Kluyveromyces lactis: one gene and its partners. The protein of the gene in region 4 purifies or fractionates together with the protein of the main gene of each other region. This does not show direct contact. Links are inferred from orthologs where the notes say so. Each region holds a gene or a part of one and is shown on either strand. Other genes may lie near its edges.

What was found. The genes of interacting proteins can lie anywhere in the genome.
Region 1: the proteins of GCN5 (region 4) and SGF73 purify together in Saccharomyces cerevisiae (affinity purification with mass spectrometry; 13 studies listed by BioGRID, with this or other methods). This does not show direct contact. The link is inferred for Kluyveromyces lactis from reciprocal best matches to the Saccharomyces cerevisiae genes GCN5 and SGF73.
Region 2: the proteins of GCN5 (region 4) and AHC1 purify together in Saccharomyces cerevisiae (affinity purification with mass spectrometry; 5 studies listed by BioGRID, with this or other methods). This does not show direct contact. The link is inferred for Kluyveromyces lactis from reciprocal best matches to the Saccharomyces cerevisiae genes GCN5 and AHC1.
Region 3: the proteins of GCN5 (region 4) and SGF11 purify together in Saccharomyces cerevisiae (affinity purification with mass spectrometry; 8 studies listed by BioGRID, with this or other methods). This does not show direct contact. The link is inferred for Kluyveromyces lactis from reciprocal best matches to the Saccharomyces cerevisiae genes GCN5 and SGF11.

What each region holds. Positions count from the first base shown.
Region 1 is NC_006038.1:214,243-217,569, forward strand, and holds SGF73 (deubiquitination module subunit SGF73), read right to left. Parts: upstream 1,977-3,327; coding exon 501-1,976; downstream 1-500. Other genes in the region: ALG2 (GDP-Man:Man(1)GlcNAc(2)-PP-dolichol alpha-1,3-mannosyltransferase), read left to right, coding at 1-384; PGC1 (phosphatidylglycerol phospholipase), read right to left, coding at 2,552-3,327. UniProt on the Saccharomyces cerevisiae protein: Component of the transcription coactivator SAGA complex. SAGA acts as a general cofactor required for essentially all RNA polymerase II transcription. At the promoters, SAGA is required for transcription pre-initiation complex (PIC) recruitment.
Region 2 is NC_006041.1:833,865-836,916, forward strand, and holds AHC1 (Ahc1p), read right to left. Parts: upstream 1,848-3,052; coding exon 501-1,847; downstream 1-500. Other genes in the region: DDL1 (putative carboxylic ester hydrolase), read right to left, coding at 1-212; KLLA0_E09417g (uncharacterized protein), read left to right, coding at 2,362-2,784.
Region 3 is NC_006040.1:997,544-999,463, reverse strand, and holds SGF11 (SAGA histone acetyltransferase complex subunit SGF11), read right to left. Parts: upstream 795-1,920; coding exon 501-794; downstream 1-500. Other genes in the region: ubiquitin-protein ligase RMD5, read right to left, coding at 1-266; CTA1 (catalase A), read right to left, coding at 1,144-1,920. UniProt on the Saccharomyces cerevisiae protein: Component of the transcription coactivator SAGA complex. SAGA acts as a general cofactor required for essentially all RNA polymerase II transcription. At the promoters, SAGA is required for transcription pre-initiation complex (PIC) recruitment.
Region 4 is NC_006037.1:454,956-458,138, forward strand, and holds GCN5 (histone acetyltransferase GCN5), read right to left. Parts: upstream 2,052-3,183; coding exon 501-2,051; downstream 1-500. Other genes in the region: PUP2 (proteasome core particle subunit alpha 5), read left to right, coding at 1-256; ATG7 (Atg7p), read right to left, coding at 2,485-3,183. UniProt on the Saccharomyces cerevisiae protein: Histone acetyltransferase that acetylates histone H2B to form H2BK11ac and H2BK16ac, histone H3 to form H3K9ac, H3K14ac, H3K18ac, H3K23ac, H3K27ac and H3K36ac, with a lower preference histone H4 to form H4K8ac and H4K16ac, and contributes to H2A.Z acetylation.

The sequences.
Region 1 (3,327 bases), on a different chromosome or scaffold from region 4:
GCAACTGGTTGGTTACGACCATCCGATGCTGATGAATGGTCAAAAGTGTTGGATCAATCCGTAGACATATTTGAAAAGAATCACTCCTTATTCGAAGTTAACGGTCCTAAACGTATTAAGTACTATTTCTCCAGAGAAGCGATGTCCAAAAACTTTGATAATACCATCGACCATATTATTTGGAAGTCAAGAGGAACGCGTTTATGGAGCACATTAGCTCCAGGGCTACTGATGTTCACTGTCCAATATGCTACACTGTTGATAACAGGCGATGCTTCTTGGCCATATTTATTGCTAGCTGCGATTTCTTATTTTGTATTAAGAAGTGTAAAGGCCACTGTGTACTGGATCATCGTTTTCTGTTACCTAAACTATTCAACTTAAAAGCGAAGCCAATCTTAATTTATTATAACGACTTGTGCAAAATATATACACATACCCCTCAAAGTTAAGAGATGAAAAACAGACGTTAACAAGCTATTAAGTTTCTAAATATTACACTAATTAACTCTTCCTCCATATCCATTTACACCAAATTGAACACCAGGTTGATTTGAATTGCTTCGACTTTGAGTATTAACCGGTGAGCCTATTGTTTGCTGCATCAACTTAGAAGCCGTATCTAGTTGAGCACTGGCGTCTTCCATTCTTTTCTTCTGCAGGAGTTTCTGTTGCTGTTGTTGCATTATTAGCTGTTGAGTTTGAATATCCCGAGGGGTGATGCCCTGGGTCATCATGGGTTGTTGCCCTGCAGGTTTTCCAGCCTGAACTGACTGTGGAATTTGCATTTGCATTTGAGATAACGATCCGGTAGCACTAGATTGTCGTTGCCGCTGTTGTTGTTGCTGTTGTTGCTGCTGCTGCTGCTGTTGTTGTTTCAAACGTTGGGCCTGTAATATTTGAAGCTGTTCTGGTGTCAAGTTTTGAGGTGATGCGTTAATAGGTTGAGGCGTACGTATACGGAACGTATAATCAGTCGTTCTATCAATGTCAATAAGACCGACCCTTGAGCGGAACGCACCAACTCCAGGGCTCTTAAAGCCTGGTTTTATACTGAAAGCAGACCCAAACATTTCTCTCATTCTGACGTACTTGGTTCTTGATCGTGTAGAAGTCAATACCGTAGTTTCTAACGGTAGTGGGTATGAACGTGAAACACCGTTCAAAACCAGAGTAGTCTCTTCTTCAGGGGACAATTTGGGTAATGACTCATTGACCACTTCATTGCTGCTGGTTTTCCCAGTGTTTTTATCTTTCCCCTTTTGTTTAACTTGTGGATCCTGCTGATTTTGCTGTGCCTTTTGGATTCTAGTCTTGGACGCCGAAGATTTCAACTGGTTGCGTTTCTGATAATCAGCTAATAATATGTCAAATGGCTGTGACCGTCCCTCCACTGCACGTTTCGCTCCCATTGAGTGCGATTTACATGTTAATGATCTACCGCAAACACCACCTTCAGGTAATGGTACACCACACTGTTTATCGAAGTTAACCAGATGTGGCTCTGTCGGGTTTCGCTGTTTTATCTTCCTTTGTTTTCTAGTCGATCCAGAAGGAGTGGATGATTTCTGTTTCTTTGAAGGTGAATCGAAATTCTCAGGATCTATCGACGAGGATCTCTTATTACTCCCCTTACTTTTAGCAGGAGAAGACATGATATCCTGCGTCTCATTCTTTTTCACAGGCATTTTATCAATACAGTGATTCTCTAAATGATCTATAATAGCTGACACCAATACCGGCTGGTGGCAAGCTGTACAATTCCTATAACGGATATCCTCTTTAGAAACGCCAGATAAAACTTCTGACGGCCTGCTCAAGTATTTTGAACGAATATCCGTGGATGATAAATCCGAACTATTCCCGTTATTCTTAACAATAGACAGTAACTCCTTCCAACCGTTCTTGCTACTTCCTAAATCTTCTAATTGAATGTCTGATCTGATTCCTTTAATCTCTATATTGACACTTGACATGCTCTTGTACCAAAATCAGCCAGGTAAAAAAAAAATGATAGGGAGAATTACGATGGAAATGATGAATGAATTGAGACAAGCTAACAATGATCAAACTGTCCTTACCTAGCTTTCAAAAATAAACCAGAGTCTATCGGTGGTAATGCAAATTGGTGCCTAACTATGGTAAAAATAGCACGTTAAAAAAAAAGAATCTGGTATGAAGTGAGCCCTCAATATTGATTGTACAAAAGTAACTTTTGTGGCAGGTAAATAACACGTTAGAACTATCTCAAAAGCCTTTTAAAATCTTTGGATCACCCGCTCTAAATACTTTCAAGCATCTGAATTCATGTATTATCTTATGAAATGTTTCTGTCCATCGGTATGTTATTCCTGTCGAAATCGTCGACTTTCAGAAAGGGAAACTTGAAAGTTCTTACAATCACGTGATATGACTTAATGGAATGTGTCAATCCCCCACACACCAATTGGTCCGTCGATAATCGAATTGCAAGCTAAATATAACATATTTCAGGATATTAACTTCCTATGGTATGTGTGTTATATAGATTGTCTACGAAATGAAATGACATTTAAATGAAGTGGATTCTTCTTAACAATAAAACGGTTACTTTCAACAAGGTGATATCATGGAATACTGGGACAGTGGCCCATCTTGAGCTAAGGATCCTTTCAGCCACTTCGAATACCCGAAGTCTAAGGTATAGTCTAAAACCTTCAGAGCTATTGAAAATTGGCGGTACAAACGGCACTGCTTTCCGAATGTACTCATCTCGAATTGACACTGAAGCTACCGGATCATCAACGATAATCCCGGTAATGGTCATACTACTGATATATTTGATGTCAATTTCGGAATTGACGGTCCAAAGGTATACGGCAAGGTTGTTTTCTTGCAAGTATGGTAATACAGTTTTCTTGAAATCGGGTTTCCAAGAGTTAATGAAATGAAGACTGACACCATGCAACTTGTAGTTGTCATCGCTCAAGGATTTAGAGTATTCGACAAATTTAGTAGCCATCGCTGTGAAGGGTAAGATGGCCACGATCTTGAAACCCTTCAGTGTGGCCGTGGTGACCCCGTATTTGTACCAATCAAGTTGCCACAATCCGAACATCAAACGTTGCCTCCAGAAATCTAAATCATCGACTACTGCTCTCATTTCAAGAATCGCCTTGATTAAAAGAACCTTATCATTTGTAGGCTTGATATCCAACATAAATTTCATTGTAGGGTGTTCTTTTAACCATTGTAAGGCGTCCTTGAATGTCGTTATCCTGATTTCTGGATTTATCTTACTCTTCAACAGTAGTAATTCATCCAAGTTCGTCTCACCTATCACGACAT
Region 2 (3,052 bases), on a different chromosome or scaffold from region 4:
TCATTAACATCAAGTTTCCTACTGAAATTCTTCTGGGTATAGAGGTCCTCAATCCGTTTGGAGTCGACCTTGGAGAACGGTTGAAATTTTAAAGGTGCCGTTTTTGGTACATACTCTGATTCAAAAGGTTTGGTTTTAGGAATGTCAATTGCATAAAACCACCTAGATGAGAAATAGCGCCTATTTTCTTTCCACATAGCCCGCACCTTCATCAAGCTTCCCCATATATTTTCCTTTATAACAAGCACTTTACCACAATCCTGTACGGATTGTAGGCCAGCGTCAAGGTACTATTTCATTCTAGTTTATTTTTCAAAATATTATCTTTTTGCATGACAATAGGGGAAAACTTTTTAAGTTACGGATGACTGAATAGATAAAACATTCGACCTAAGTGATTGCATTAAACATTGCTGGCAACGCAATCCGCTGGAGTCAATTAAAGTTCTTTAATTTATATGGTTACATAGTGTTTTCGTTCCTTAAATATTGAATTTCGTTCAGTCATCACGATTGAAAGACCTAAGCTTTGACTTAGCACGAAGATTATAATGTCTAGAACGTTTTTCTTCCTCAGGAATGTGATTCTCGGTGACATGTATGACATCTGGTCTTGCTTTCTTTTCGGCAGGCTTATTCCGTTCATTGAGCATACTCCTTTTTCTAGGTTTCGGTTTTGCTTCTTCTTCTGAAGCGGTTCCTAAACCCTCCTCATCCTCATATTTCATTATCGTTTCAAGATCATTCTTTGCGTCCTTGACGTAGTTGATTATATCCTTGAAATCGTCCTTGCCATACATTTTCTGAAGATGGGTCGTTGATTTCGTTAGGGCGGATTCTTCAGCTACCGAGGTTGCCTTCGGCGTGTCTTTCGTAATTTTTTTGTCATTATGTTGTAAGGGTATCGGCGAAGCCAAATAGCTATCCTTTGGAGTTTTCTTTAACTCTTTGAACTTCGCTAGGATCTCTGGATCCTGCTTTTCATCCGGAAGTATAACCTGGTTACTGAGCACCGCTAAGGGTTGTGACTGATAGTGGAGAAAATGTTTTAGCCTCATATGATTGACAATACCTTGCGCAGATGTGAAACCTTCCCTTCCACATTGAGAGCATGTAATTATTATGAGTATTCCATCAGGTCTTCTGAATATAGGCTGACCCAAGTCAGTGGTTCCGATCATACCACTGTTGCTAGTAGCGCATGTGCTACTGAAGTTTCGTTGGTGATTATGGTGAGGCATCTTCGAAATTATTGCCTCTGATTTCTGTACCTCAGTGGCTGAAGTTTGTTGAGGAACAGTCTTTATGCCACGCATACGAATGTCAATAACGTTTTCATTAGCAAGCCGTAGCCCACTAACTTTCGATCCGCCTTTACTTCTTGTATGGTAGTAATAGATTCCCTCGCGGGTTTCCACATTTGAGCATCCCGCCTTGATGCTTTCCTCCACCTCTTTAGTTCTCGTCTCTTGGTACTTTGAGATCTTATCCGTTAGTTCAGGGTCATCATGCATTATCTTTAACACTTCCAACTGCCCGGATACCTTATCATTCTCTTCTATTATATGCTCCATTTCTTTATGTGTCAACATGATCTGCAAGTTTAGTTGGTCCAGTATTTCTCTTCTTGTGGACATAAACTTTAACCTTTCAGCATCTTCATGTGGGTGTGACGAGTGTATAGAGTCATTATCCTCATTATCCGCTATAGAAGAGAGTTCATGTGGTGATTTTGGAGTTGCCACTTGGTAATATGATATCGTGTGGTTTGATCTGGAAATGCTATCTACATCATCTTCATCCATGAAAAGTACCTGATGACTATTTCTATGATCCACAGAATGCATTAGAATATGTTTAGCAACAAATATAGGGTGACGGACGTCTATTAATGTACAAATTTGCTCAGTCTTTACGCCCTTTTCTTCCAAAATCTTTCTATTGTTAATAATCCGTTATGTACAATTTTTTTTTTTTTTGTTACTACTTATATGGAAAATGAGAATGAAGAGAAAGGCTCTAGCTGTTTAAAACCGTAAACACATTGGATAAATTATGCCTATTTTGAAATGGGTCGAGGAAACAGCGCGACAAGAAAGCTGGTGTCTGTAAACCAATCAACATGACCACTTAGTGAGGGACAAATATTGAGAATCTTTTGAGCCGTGATGAGCTCAGGTAGAGAGTCCGTTGTTATCAGTATTTCTTTGTATTTATCCTTTTTTAAAGTTTTCCAAAAGTCATTTTAGATAGATCTTCCAGACTTTAATAAACTGGGCAATACTTAAATTGAGAACACATGAGTGAGCCACTTCCCCTTGACTACCGGTATGTCTGCATATATCTTATGACAGGAAGAGTATGAGCAAAATTATTACGGATCTTGATACAATTGCCGGAAAGATCGAGGAGTACGCAGGAGATACGTTGTTAAGACTTCGAATCTTCGCACAATTTCAGGACATTTCTCATTCACATGAAAGAACCGATGGGATTTATCTTCATTTTAGCAACGTTCCAGATTTCAATGCAGAAACGAATAGAGAAAGATCATATTATTTCTTGATTGATGAGACAATCTATGACGAAGCGTTCATCAATACCAAATCAGGTGAAAGACCACATAAGGGCGATATCTTAGATATGAGATGTTGTTATAGGAAGTACGATAAAGTCGTTGAAATTATGCATCTGAAAGTGATATCGATCGCAGATTTGGATTCATTACGAGAATTCTTGGCGAAGGCGGACGATGACTCAGAGATTAGATCTTTTCTTCGATGAAAGAGGAGAAATGTTACTTGTATTTCTTTGTTAAAATCTATTAACGATTGTAATGTACATAAAGAGACAGCACACATGCATCTATATGAATATATAAATAAAGCTATGCTTCTCAGAGAGGTGAAGTTAAATATATCGATGCTCCGGGTTTAGAATCTGTGATAATTTGAATCTTAATCATGAAGGTAAAATAAAAAGTAAGTAAATTAAGCTGAGCGAATCCCTTTGAAAAAAGGTATTTGCTATCCAAGAAAGAGAGGTAGAAAGA
Region 3 (1,920 bases), on a different chromosome or scaffold from region 4:
CGGTAAGTGCTGATAGAAGAGTTTAAGGATTTCTTCATGGAAGAATCCCAGTTCTTATGAGATTTCGCTAGTTTCTCCCTAATAACAAGACGTTTCTGTGGACTTGATCCATGCTTCAGCAAATGCGCTTTCAATTTCTTCAACTGGATCTTAAAGTCGTGCACTTCTTCAACACATTTCCCAAGCTGGGTCCTGCGCTCGTCTTTATCAACGTATAATCTGGAATTGACCCATTGTTGATCTAAAGTCTCTAGCAAAGTCGACATAAGTAACTCAGTTTAATTCTCTGAAGGGTACTTGCTAGTTCTAGTGTCTCTAACTTTCCGCTCTTCTGTAGAGTAACACCTGACAACTCTTTACACCGTTATAATGATGGGTTAAAGATCGTTATCACAGGTTTAAGGGTACAGGGTACGATGCTGGACAACTTGATTTGAAATGACACACATTATGGGTTTGGGGGAAGATTTAAGGCTGCACTAAGGCTGGGTAATGAAATCTCACCTTCTACCACGTGATAAGCATCTAACGAGATGAGCAGCGAACCTGTTCCCACTAACTTCCCGTCCACAGACATTACATTCGATGTAAACGGCGGAGTCTGCTTGCTTTGCCTTACCGTGTATATCCAATGTTCCTGACGGGTCAGCGTAATACGGTTTAGCATCCGGGAATTGCAGTTTCAGAAGCTTTCTCTTCACTGTTTGACGCGAGATGATATCTTGGATGATAGAAGTAAGAATGTTCTGATATATGGAATCGGCAACCGAATCTGTGGTCAAAGAAGCAGTCATGGTTACAGCCACCTCTTGATAGTTGCAAATACTGAATAAGTCAAGTCAGTACTGTTGTCTTATGTCTGATCGTAGAACAGAATTGATTGTTTCAATATCAAAGTAAGCTAATTTGACCTTGCTTTTCTATTAAAATTGGATATTGCAGAAAATTGACGATAAGCACAGGGAATACAAGCAGAATACAAGAGACAACAGTCGACATGTTAGCGGCTACAATGCCTGATACCATGCATCTCATTACGGACAGATATTAATAGTATACTTGTAATAAATATGGGGATAAATAAAACGTACATACAAAGCGGAAAGAGATAGAGAGAGAGAAAGAAAGCACAGCTAATTCTCTCTATAACTTTGCATTCAATGCAGCAGCCTTTCTTGGGGATAAGCTCAGAGCTTCCTTTTTGATGTTTTCAGATAGACCACGGTCGACTCTTGCAAACATGGCAAATACACGGTCTTGGATTTCAGGGCATGCACTTGCTACGTGTACTGCGACATTGTGGGCCAATGCCTTTTGTTGACCTGGCTGTTTGCTCAACACTTTGTTATACAAGTCTCTGGCTTGAACGAAATCGATGTCTCCTGGTGAGGTTGCCCAATGTACAGGCATTGCAGGCCCAGACCATACTTCTTGATGTTGTTGAATTGGCTTTGATTGTTGAATGAATTGGTACTTCTTAGAAGTAGACAAATAGTTTGGCTCTTTGCCCAAATTGCCGTTAACGTTCATTGGGCCATCTCTGATAGCTGGGTTGAAAACCTTCGATGCATATGGACAATTAACAGGGATTTGAGAATAGTTAGGGCCTAATCTGTAACGATGGGCATCTGGATAAGAGAACAAACGTGCTTGTAAGACAGGGTCAGCAGAAGCTTCTTGGTATGGGACGGTGTGCGATGGGGAGAATGCAGCCTGTTCCACTTGAGCGAAGTAATTTTCTGGATTTTCATTCAAAACCATCTTACCTACACGACGCAATGGGAACTGCTTATGAGGCCAAACTTTTGTTAGATCGAATACAGAGAATGGCAATTTTTCTGCCTCTTCTTCGGTCATAGTTTGAATGTAAAGGGTCCAAGATGGGTAATTACCCTTGGCGATGTTTTCAAACAAATCCTT
Region 4 (3,183 bases):
TGCACAATCAGAATTACAAAACGAATGGCATTCATCGCTTACTTTGAAAGAGGCGGAATCGCTGGTGTTAAAGATCTTAAAGCAAGTAATGGAAGAGAAATTAGATGAAAATAATGCACAATTGAGCAGTATCACAAAAGAGGGATTTCAAATCTATTCAGATGAGAAAACTGCTGAAATTATAAAAGAGTTAAAGGAAAAGGAAAAGGAGGAGAAGCCTCCTGGGTCCGAACATTCGGATGTCGAAATGGAGTGATAGATTACACTCCTTGTCTTTCGAAACACGTTATTAATCAACAGAAAATCGATTATAAAATTTCATTATTTCTCTAATCATGGATTGCTTGTATACATACAGGAGCTCCTTCTGAGCCTTTTAATGTTACACTTTCGGTATATGTATATTTATACATATCATATATATATGTGCCAACTTTCGCCATGTAGACTGTTCAGGTACGCAAAGATATCGACAAATTAGTATTTCATTATCGTTAGTATTAATCCACAAGATGTGAATACTCTGGAATCTCTTTGACTTTAGAATTGAAGAATTTTTCTAGACGATTTGCGTACTTGAAATAAGATGTGTTTTCACCGTTGTACGCACGACAATTGTTAAATATTAACCTTGCATCATATATGAAATTTTCCATCTTTTCGTATCTGTTCCCGTTTAGTTTCATTTCCATAGAACTCAAATCCATTGGTTCCTTAATAAATTCGTAATAGTCGGGGACTTCTTCCTTATTGACGGGTTGCAAAAAGGGCCATGCCGCTGCATGATTTTGCAATTCGGTGAGAAGATTTTGCATTGCTGCATAATGAGGGCCACGTTTTGGTCTCTGCGCCAGTTCGTCCATTTCTGGAGTCCAGCCAGCTTCTTTTAAACCAGGTATTGTCATTGGATCGATGGGTTTTATATTATCAAGATCCAAGAACTGTTTCAAACCTGGACGAACTATGTGAGATTGAGAAATGCTACGAATTTTCCTTCTAATTGCTGCTTCTTGCAATAAGAGGATTTTTGCTGCATCAAGATACCGGATTCTTGGCAGCATGGAACATTGCATTAAGGTACCACCTTCATAATCCTTTATGTATCCCATCCAGACATTCTTGTCCAATGTGATCTCTTTCGTGAATCCCTGCTTCTTGAAATACCCGATAGCATAATTATCCGCATATGTTAGAAAATACTTTATTGGCGATGTTGCCCTCACGTAATCTTTTAAATGATTCATTAAATGTGCACCGTAACCTCTGACTTGTTCGGTCGAACTAATAGCACAGAAGACAATTTCTGCGAACTCTCTTTTATCAAAAGGTCTATAGGTTATTCCACCAACAACAGTCAACGGTTTCCGTACCACGGCCATAGAAAGATGTGAACGATCGTAAACTAAACGAGCAATATATTCTTTGGGCATCTTAGGCAATTGCTTTTGAAAGATATTCTTTAACCCTGTTAAAACCATCATATTTTCCTTGCTATTATCATTATTAACCACTCTGAATTCAATCTTTCCTTCCTTCTCTTCTATTACACTAGGTCTGTCTTTATAACTGTATTCTTGACCATCAAAGTCAAATTTTGTTGTGCCGGCCTCTTCATCAACGACCTCATTTTCAACTATAGGAGATGTATCCGTCTTTTCATTTGCTTCTTCCTCTAATTGTTTCTCTTCAGCCTTGGTAGTTGTACTACTGGCATTGTAGTCATTGACTGGTGATTCAACGACCTCTTCATTCGTTGTAACTGATTCGATTTTGTCTTCCACTGTTTTTACGGATTCCCCCGCAACTTTTGTTTCAGAAGTTCCGTTCTGTGCATCTATAGGTCCGTCCTCTTCCTTCTGGTCTTCCTTCTGGTCTTCCTTGCTCGTCTTGTGTTCTAAATCATCGGTAACATCTTCATCAACTGCAGATCCGCCATCGATTTCAGTTTCCACAGGCTCATCTTTGGGTTTGATTTCCTCTTTTACAGTGTCAACTTTTCCCCTCTTATTCTGGACTCTTCCAGCACCATGGTGGCGTCTCTTCGGTGGCATTTGGTGCTTAGCTTCTTGTCTACGTGTGACTATTTATCTTGTCTACGTGTGACTATTTATCCTGTCTACTCGACCTAATATATATTCCCGTTCTTGTATGCTTTGGTAATTTTTCAAGTTGATTTATACATCCGTACACCACAGTCGGATAACGAGTTTAGTCTACATCTAAAACATGCCTGGTATAAGCTGATGGATCACGGAAAAAGGCCCAGTTATGTAGGTGTACCAAGCCCGTCATGGCGTAATACGCTGCAAATTGTGCAAGACTTATATTTATCTTGGGAATTATAAAACTAAATTTCATCCTGACCGTTAAATCAGAGATAAACACCTTTTCCTAACGACGAATATCGATTTCTACGCTTCATCACAAAAGGAATGCATGTCACATCATTCCACGCATCAGCCTGTCAGATGCACTGGCTATACTTCACTCTATTGACAATTCCTCGTCGTCATCAAAGGAAATATCTTCTTGAATTGCCAATTCAGCCTCCTCTTGCACCTTCGACAGTCCACTTAATTGCTCCACACACTTATAATCATCTAGCGCCTGTTTCACGAAATTCCATCCGTTTTCCTTTAGAGTTAAAATGACATTTTCATTGCTTGCACAACAGTGCTGATATGCCGGTGTTTCAAGTTTTACAGTTTTAAATTCATTTAGAAATCCTCGTATTTGATGCGGAGCTGACCCAAGCACGTTCGTCGAAGGCTGAAGATATGTCACCAATAATTCAACAGCCTGGGAAGCCGCTAATAGGGCAACACCCGGTCTAGTTACAGTACACATCTGATCTAATGTTCTGTCAGTTAGAGAATCACTTGGGGCCACGATATCGTTACAGAAATAGCAACCCAGGTTGTCATTATTGTTGCCATGTCTCATTACCAAATAACTGTCAAAACCAAGGGCCGCATTAATAACTATTTTTTCATGCATTCGTCCAAGCACCGAGGGAAGCCATCTCGTCTCGCGTGCATCCATTAAAAGAAATATAACATCATGCGTCCTTATAAGCTCGTCCAAAATTTCATAATCCTTCCTCTGCTTGCTTTCGTTCGATACAGGATGTCCTATCATTGGTATTTCCAATTGATAACCTGCAGAAACGACAGAAGGAAATAT